Linked DNA regions of Oryctolagus cuniculus. The protein of the gene in region 2 purifies or fractionates together with the protein of the main gene of each other region. This does not show direct contact. Links are inferred from orthologs where the notes say so. Each region holds a gene or a part of one and is shown on either strand. Other genes may lie near its edges.

Region 1 (3,801 bases), on a different chromosome or scaffold from region 2:
CCATCAGCACCCTGGGGGAGGAGTGAGAGTGGTGAGTGCAGGGCTGGGGAGCAGCAGGAGCTGCAGGCAGCAAGGAGCCTGGCGCGACTCAGGCCGACTCCCTGTCCTTATCCAGTCACTCACTGTGAAGGAATGGGCTCTTGGTACTCACAGGGGGGCCGGCGAAGCCAGCAGGGCCGGGGGGACCAGGCTCACCACGGTCTCCCTAAAAGGAAAGAGGCAGATTGGAGAGATGCCACGATAACAGGTGCAGGATGGAGGGAGCAGAGGGGGCATCGGCCAGGCCTTCTGTACTTACAGGGGCACCACGAGCTCCAGTGGGACCAGCAGGGCCGCTGGGACCAGTTTCACCCTGAGAGGGAAGGACAAGAGGCTCAGGGTCAGGGGGCCCACCTTGACTTACTCCTGACAGATGACCCCAGAACGGCCTCCCCCGCTTCTGGTCCCTCCAGCTTCCTGGGTCGCCAGCTCAATATGGCAGACCCGTCTCCAATGCAGAGCTCGCTGGAGAAGCTGTGTGTAGGCAGGCAGCCACCTTACCTTGTCACCAGGGGCACCAGCAGGGCCAGGAGGACCAATGGGGCCAGTCAGGCCGCGAACGCCATCTTTGCCAGGAGAGCCATCAGCACCTTTGGGACCAGCATCGCCCTAAAGACAAAGAGAGACCTGAGACTTCCAGGGGTGGCAAGTGTCCTGCTTGTGTCTCATCTTCCCCGTTCCAAGGATTTTCAGGTGAAGAGGTGCCTGCTCGGAGAGCCGGCTGACACCTAGGCTAAGAGGCCTCTGTCTTGCATAGAGGGCTCCATCAAGGAGCTGGCTCCACCTCTCATCACCATGGTAACTCCTAGAGAGAAGGGCCTGGACCACAGTGGAGAAGACAGAGAAGGGAGGAGGAAGGAGAAGAGAGAAGTGTCCCAGGGAGCCATGGAAAGACACTGAAGGATCCAAAGCAGGGAGAGAGCTGGAGGGGGCTCCTGTACTTACTCTGTCACCCTTGGGGCCTGGAAGACCAGCTGCACCACGTTCACCGGGCATTCCCTGAAGGCCAGGGGCGCCTTGGCTACCGGGAGCTCCAGGGGCACCAGCATCACCCTGTGTGACAACCAAGAAGACTGCAATGAGGCCAGGGTGGAGGTGGTGGTCCCGGAAGTGGCTCACAGTCCTGGGCTTCCTCTTGGAATCACCCAGGCTTGGGCCTGGGTGAAGAAGGAAGATTCACAACCCTGACTTCGGGCTGCCTGGGAGCCCCCCACCTGCTCCCCCAGCATCTCCCTGGCCATCATGCTCCTGCCACAGGAGGGGTGAGCTCTGCTCCCTGGGCTGCCCTCACCTTAGCACCATCGTTGCCAGGAGCACCGTTGGATCCGCGGGGGCCAGCGGGACCAGGAGGACCTTGCACGCCACGCTCACCAGGGAAGCCTCTCTCGCCCTAGAAGGGAAAGTCAGGGCGTGACGGCTGCTCCAGGCTCAGAGACAGCCACAGGGCATCTGGCTGGGAGCAGGGGCACAGCGTCTACTTACTCGTGCTCCAGAGGGGCCGGGGGCACCAAGGTCTCCAGGAACACCCTGAAGGAGAGGGAAGACCAAAGAGTGAGCCCTAGGCACAGGATGGATTCTTGTCCCTGCTTCTGGGGCTGGCCCTTGCACAATCAGCCCCGCAGCCCTTCCACTCCTTCCGACTCTGCACTGAGAGCTGTCCTCCCCAGGCCAGGGGGAGGGGGAGCCACAGCGTCCTATAGCTCCTCAAAGTCACCCAGACGGGCAGCTCTGCAACCCCAGGTCACATCGTGACACTTCCTGTTTCCCTTTCCGAGGAAGTCCCTCCCCGTGTCTAACCTTCATCCCAACAGTGTCTGAATAGCTTGCAGCAGGTGCCTGGCCCTCTGCATTCCCTTCCTTGCCCACACACCCTTTCGGCCAACGGCTCCCTCTTACCTGTTCGCCAGGTTTGCCTGCTTCCCCAGGAGGACCAGCGGGGCCAGGGAGACCCTGCAAGTGAGCAGTGGGGGGAGAAAGAGGAGGGGCTTCAGAATCTGGAGAGGACAAAGTGGTGTCCCCGCCTTCTCCAGCCCCCAGCTCCCTGACTGCCGCCTCACCTGGAATCCAGGGGAGCCAGCAGGGCCTTGTTCACCTCTCTCTCCAGCGGGGCCCTGTCACAGAGAGACAGCTGTGGTCACAGAAAGGCGGACGGGGCAGGGGACAGGGGGCGCCGCCTCAGGCCTCCCAGGCAGGGCCACTTACAGCAGGTCCAGGGGGTCCCTGAGCTCCAGCTTCTCCGTCTTTGCCAGCAGGACCCTGTGGGGAGGCAGGAAGGGAGTGCTCAGGGTGGCAGGCCCAGTGGGCAGCTGGAGGAAGGGGCGCGGGGTAGGAAGGGGCTGCTTACCACAGCGCCAGGGGGTCCAGGAACGCCTCTCTCTCCAGCTTTGCCGGGCTCTCCCTGGGGAGGAAAGGGCGGGCAGGCTGAGGAGGCTGAAGGGAGACCGGAAGGCCCCACAGGTGCCTCCTACTTGCTCTGAGGAGGAGTTTCTAAAAGGGACCTCCTTCTCCAAAGTCGGGTGGCTGTTGGCTGTGCACATGCAGTTTAGGCCTGAGGCCCTCAGCCCCTCCCCACAATCACAGAGGCCTTGCAAGCCCTGCTCCCTCCACCCTCCCTCCTCCCTTCCCCCTGCTCCGTGCGCACTGTGGCCTCAGCTGCCAAGGGTTTCTCCTCCATTGGTGCCTTCTTTGAACCTCAATAAACCCTCCAAGATTTGGGGAGTGGGGCCGGGGGCACCCACAAAACTTAGTTCCAGGCACAGAGCAATGGCTGGGAAGCCGGAAGTCCTTTATTTTACTGATAAGGTGCTCAAGGCCCAGGAAGGGGCAGTGAGCAGTGTGAGGCCACACAGCAAGTCAGCAGCAGGGCTGGGCCAGAGCCTGGGACTCTCACCGGCCAGGCGTGCTTGTCCCAAGCCCCGAGTTGCTCCCTACTCAATACTCACAGCGGCACCTTTGGGTCCAGGGAATCCCATCACACCAGCCTGACCACGGGCACCAGGGGGGCCTGGGGGTCCGGGGCGACCGTCTTGACCAGCGGGACCCTGAAGATGGGAGGCACAAAGTCAGATGGGGACAGGGGTGGCAGACGGGAAGGTGGGAGAGGGCTCACGGGGAGGGATACTTACAGGGGGGCCAGTTTTGCCATCAGGACCAGGGCTGCCAGGGCTTCCAGTGAGACCCTGGGTGTGGGGGAAAAACAGAAGTGTGAGTAGGGGGAGAAGGGGATGGTGGGGGGTAGCCCCAGGAGCAGACCCATGGCCTGCTCCAGAAAGCCTCATCCCAGACCCATGCCCCAACAGGCCAGGGGGTGCCTGGCCAAGTTGGGCGGCAGAGCTGGGGGCCCACCTTGGCACCAGGCAGGCCGGCTTCACCGGGGCGACCAGCTTCACCAGGAGAGCCTTTGGGGCCAGCAGGGCCAGGAGCACCACGTTCACCAGCGGGACCCTGGGTTGGGAAAAGTCACAGGAAAACGAGGGGCTTGAGTGCGGGCATTGCGACCATGGCCAGCGCCTCTTCCTCCTTACACAAGGAAGGCTGTGGGCGCTGGCTTGGGTGGGCTTCGGGGTGGGAGGCATAGCAGAGGTGAGGCCCAGTGGAAGGGAAAGAGGCACCAACACCTGCAGCTGCACTCACGCGCAGGAGCGCTTGTGCCTGTGGCGGGGTGGGGGGTGACCAGCGAGGGAGCACAGGTTACCTTGGGGCCAGCCACGCCATCTGCACCTGGGAAGCCACGGCTGCCAGGTCCACCCTGCAGAGGGGAGA
Region 2 (3,901 bases):
CTTGGAAACAATCCCATATCCAGTGGTTTGAGCACCTTTACAGGATATCAGTATATGAGACTACAACAGTGAAGTCACGTGGCTGAAGAACATTTAACGGCAGATGGAGAAGCTGGGAAATTCAGGATGCGAATATATGCTTATGTCATGTTTATTTGTGAAAGATACAAACACAAATGAATTCTGATGATGCGTAGGCTCCCAGCTTGCTGTGGCCCCATCACCAAGCCCAAAAGACTCATTTTTGTTAATTCATTTGTCCCTCAAAGCAGTTACGTTTGCATCCCCTAGTATATATGCATAGTTCCTTTTTTAAGTGTATATGCACATGTAGAAAGACTACAATCATAACAGCACTTATCAATAGGCAATTAGATTAAGAATTATACTTTTCGGGGCCAGATTTGTGGCGTAGCAAGTAAAGCTGCCGCCTGCAGTGCTGGTGGCCCATATGGGCGCCGGTTCAAGTACAGCTGCTCCACTTCCAATCCAGTTCTCTGCTGTGGCCTGGGAAAGCAATGGAAGACAGCCCAAGTCCTTGGGCCCATGAACTTGCGTGGGAGATCCGAAAGAAGCTCCTGGCTTTGACTGGCACAGCTCCAGCCGATGCCGACAACTGCAGAGTGAACCAGCAGATGGAAGACCTCTCTTTCTCTCTCTGCCTCTCCTTCTCTCTCTGACTTTCAAATAAATAAATCTTTAAAAAAAAAAGAATTTTACTTTTCTGAGTTGACTGCTTTTGTGTTTTCCAAATTTTCTGTAACAGTATATATTACTAAAATATAAGTAGAAAAAAATGGTATTACCTAATAGAGGCGGGAAATAAAAACACTATGAAAACCAATTATTTTCAAACATGAAAAAACAAGGACAGGCAATTGCCAGGTCTTCACAGAGAAGGGGGAGAGCGGCGGCCTGACGGGTCCATGGTCACATACTCTACCTGCCCTCACCCCCGACACACACATCCTCAAGGCAGGCTCAGACATAGCTGCCCAGGCACAAGCCTGCAAACAAACAGGCTCCCCTGAACACCTGCTCACTATCCCTCACCTGTGGCTGGGTCTTGCAGCACAAGGTCTTCCAGCGCAGGCCAGTCTGAGTTCAGTCGCTTAACCAGTTTGTAGGCGTTCACAGGATGGGCAAGGTAGCCCTCGGGGTCAGCAGCTGACTTGCTGGTAAGGGCTTCCATCTTGCTTGCCCAGCTATGGAACAGAGGAAGAGGAGGATTAACATTCCAATCCACCCGGTCCTGATCCGCAGAAACTTCCCTAGGGAGATCCAGAACCCTTCTCATCAAGAAGTAGTAAAAAATAAATACAGACGCTCCCTGCAGATACTTCTTTCTGGCCCTTTAATCTAGACAGAGCCAGGAATCCCAATGTCAGTTTCAAAAAAAAAAAAAAGGGTCTTAGAAAGTGAGAAAAAAATGTGACCCTTAGCCTGTATGTTTAGCTCCTCCGGAGTTCTGTCACAAATAACCTCCAGGACTGCATCACATCCCTTCTCAAGGGATTCCCTTAAAGACACCCTGGATGGGGCCCTGGGAGGAGAGGGGCTGACTGAGGGTGGGCGTGGGGACTCGGGCGAGCGGTACCTCTTGATCTTAGAGAGTTTGGCCTCCTCCGCAAGGATGTACTCCTTCAGTGCGTGCACCAGGTCTTTCTCAGCATAGATCAGGTCGGTCATGTGCCCTGCAGGGGAGAGAAGCAGTGCTGATGAGATGTGCATGGGAGATGTACAGCTCCCTTCCTTGGAGCACAGAACACCCTCACAGATGCGAGTTCCCTGGGCCAAGGACATTCAGCTCTCTGGGGATCATGGGAACGTTGAGTTAAAGGGTGCCTAGGCACTCACAGGGTCCTGGCTCCAGCCTTCAGAGAGAGGCAGACAGGATATGGGAATAAATGCACTAGCAGCTACTCAGCTAGAAACTCCCAATCTCATTCTCCCACCGTGAGCCGGCTGGCTTGTCACTGGGCATGCACACGCTAGCATCTCTGAAACTTCAGGTGAGGGAGAGGGGAGGGTGGGAGAGTGCACTCAGAAACTCTAGGTCAGGTTAAATGGTCAGAGACCAGAGAGACCAACTGAAGCCTGCACAAGCCAGGCAGGAGGGCCCAACTTAGGCGGTTAGCTCCTAGGACACCCAAGTTAACCGGAGCTAAGGTGCTGTCCAGGGTGGGTGGGGGGAGGGGGTTGCGGGGAACGTGAACAGCAGCTCTAGAAGCTTTGGTCACAAGCAGTGGGTGACACCAACCCCCCCTCAGTGAGAAACCTGTCAGGCAGGGCCAGCGCCGGCATTTGAGCCGAGGGCTGCTCAGGCAGATGAAAACTTCTCGGCACATACCAATAGAGGTGAAGAATTCAGCCCATGCACAGCTCAGGGCAGCAAACCAGGCCATCAGCAACGTGGACACCCAGGGTTTCATGGTCACTGAGGCAGTATCTGCAGGGCATTCAGTGATATTTATTAGATTTACATAGTGAAAAACAGCATCACGGATCACATGGCACGCACACACACACACACACACATCCATACAGCAATCCTGGCCTGGCACACACATACACACACACACACACACACACATCCATACAGCAATCCTGGCCTGGCATACAGAAGCTATGACAGCTATTTGGGCAAGAACACAAGGCTGTAAACTCTGGCCATTCCTTCTCATTTCCAGACTGCTTCTCTGTTCCTCTCTTACCTCCTGACATATGTGCCAGGTGCTACGGACCCAGTCCCTGCCCACAGGAGGGGGGATAACGCATGAGAAGCTGTGGATGGAAAGAGAACTTGACATGACATTCTCTGGGAAACACAACCCCAGCTAAGGTGTACAGGAGATAGTCAGCAAGAAGAGGAATAAAACTGACCCCTGCCAGTCTGCACCTGCCAAGGAGAGAGCAGTTGGGACACCACACCTGGACAGACACTACTCTTCCTGCTGTGAGGCCTCTCCGCAGGCACTGTCCTCGCTGGCCAGACACCATGTGTTCACAAGTATTTACTGAAGAACCACAGGGGCCAGGCACCGAGCTAGGCACTCGGGACATAAAAATGAATCAGCCGCACAAGGACAAAACCTCAGGCAAGGCTGCTGCTATGGGGGAGAGGCCAGCTGCTGCCTTCTCAAGAACCCAGACATCTCCAGACCCAGCTCTGAGGCAGCAGACACAACCTGGGGCAGGCCCTGCTGGCAGTGGACCTAAGTACACAACAGGAGCTTCAGACCTCGTCTCCCAACTCAGCTATGCAGACCGGAACGTGCCGGAGGACCAGTACTCATCTGAGCCCCAGCTCTGTAAGCCCTGCCCCTTCCTGCTCCACCCAGCTAAGGCCCACTCGAGTGCTCGAGTGGAAATTTACTCGGAGAAAACAAGGAAAATGAAGGATATACAAGAGCTTCCCAAAAACATCAGCCTCCTCTGACAGAAATTCCAAGTCTGAGTTACTAATGAATGCCCATTCACCGAATTCATTCTGCCATGGTCCACTGGACACAGGGTCACTCCCACTGCTCCTCCTCTCACCCCGTCAGAAGAAACCCCAAGCCGCCAGGATGGGCTCAGAAGCAGCCAACCACAAGGTCACCCTCAAACAGGCTCCTCCTCCACTAAGATGGGAGAGTAAATGAAGGGTGCCAAGGTGCCACGTGTGCACACCCCTGCCAAAGACTGCAGAGCTAGTGCACGCCCGTCACAGGCTAGGCATTTTTGGGATCGGGGACATGGGACAATTATCTTACAAGCCAGACCTGCTGCAGGGTAGAAAATGTTGAGCTAAGGAGACGATTATGGACCCAGGATAGCAGAGGAAAGACAATCACTGCAAGAAGGCCAGTAGGCCTGGGGTAGCTCTGAGGCTTAGCCCAGGCCCTCCTGGCTCCAGCCA

The links.
Region 1: the proteins of P4HA2 (region 2) and COL1A1 purify together in Homo sapiens (co-immunoprecipitation; 3 studies listed by BioGRID and IntAct, counting the BioPlex papers as one, with this or other methods). This does not show direct contact. The link is inferred for Oryctolagus cuniculus from reciprocal best matches to the Homo sapiens genes P4HA2 and COL1A1.

Annotation. Positions count from the first base shown.
Region 1 is NC_091448.1:26,151,959-26,155,759, forward strand, and holds part of COL1A1 (collagen alpha-1(I) chain), read right to left. Parts: intron 3,788-3,801; coding exon 3,734-3,787; intron 3,484-3,733; coding exon 3,385-3,483; intron 3,219-3,384; coding exon 3,165-3,218; intron 3,081-3,164; coding exon 2,982-3,080; intron 2,438-2,981; coding exon 2,384-2,437; intron 2,296-2,383; coding exon 2,242-2,295; intron 2,151-2,241; coding exon 2,097-2,150; intron 1,990-2,096; coding exon 1,936-1,989; intron 1,567-1,935; coding exon 1,522-1,566; intron 1,430-1,521; coding exon 1,331-1,429; intron 1,093-1,330; coding exon 985-1,092; intron 649-984; coding exon 541-648; intron 353-540; coding exon 299-352; intron 206-298; coding exon 152-205; intron 12-151; coding exon 1-11. UniProt on the Homo sapiens protein: Type I collagen is a member of group I collagen (fibrillar forming collagen).
Region 2 is NC_091437.1:20,767,549-20,771,449, forward strand, and holds the start of P4HA2 (prolyl 4-hydroxylase subunit alpha-2), read right to left. Parts: upstream 2,450-3,901; 5' UTR 2,433-2,449; coding exon 2,351-2,432; intron 1,695-2,350; coding exon 1,598-1,694; intron 1,206-1,597; coding exon 1,054-1,205; intron 1-1,053. UniProt on the Homo sapiens protein: Catalyzes the post-translational formation of 4-hydroxyproline in -Xaa-Pro-Gly- sequences in collagens and other proteins.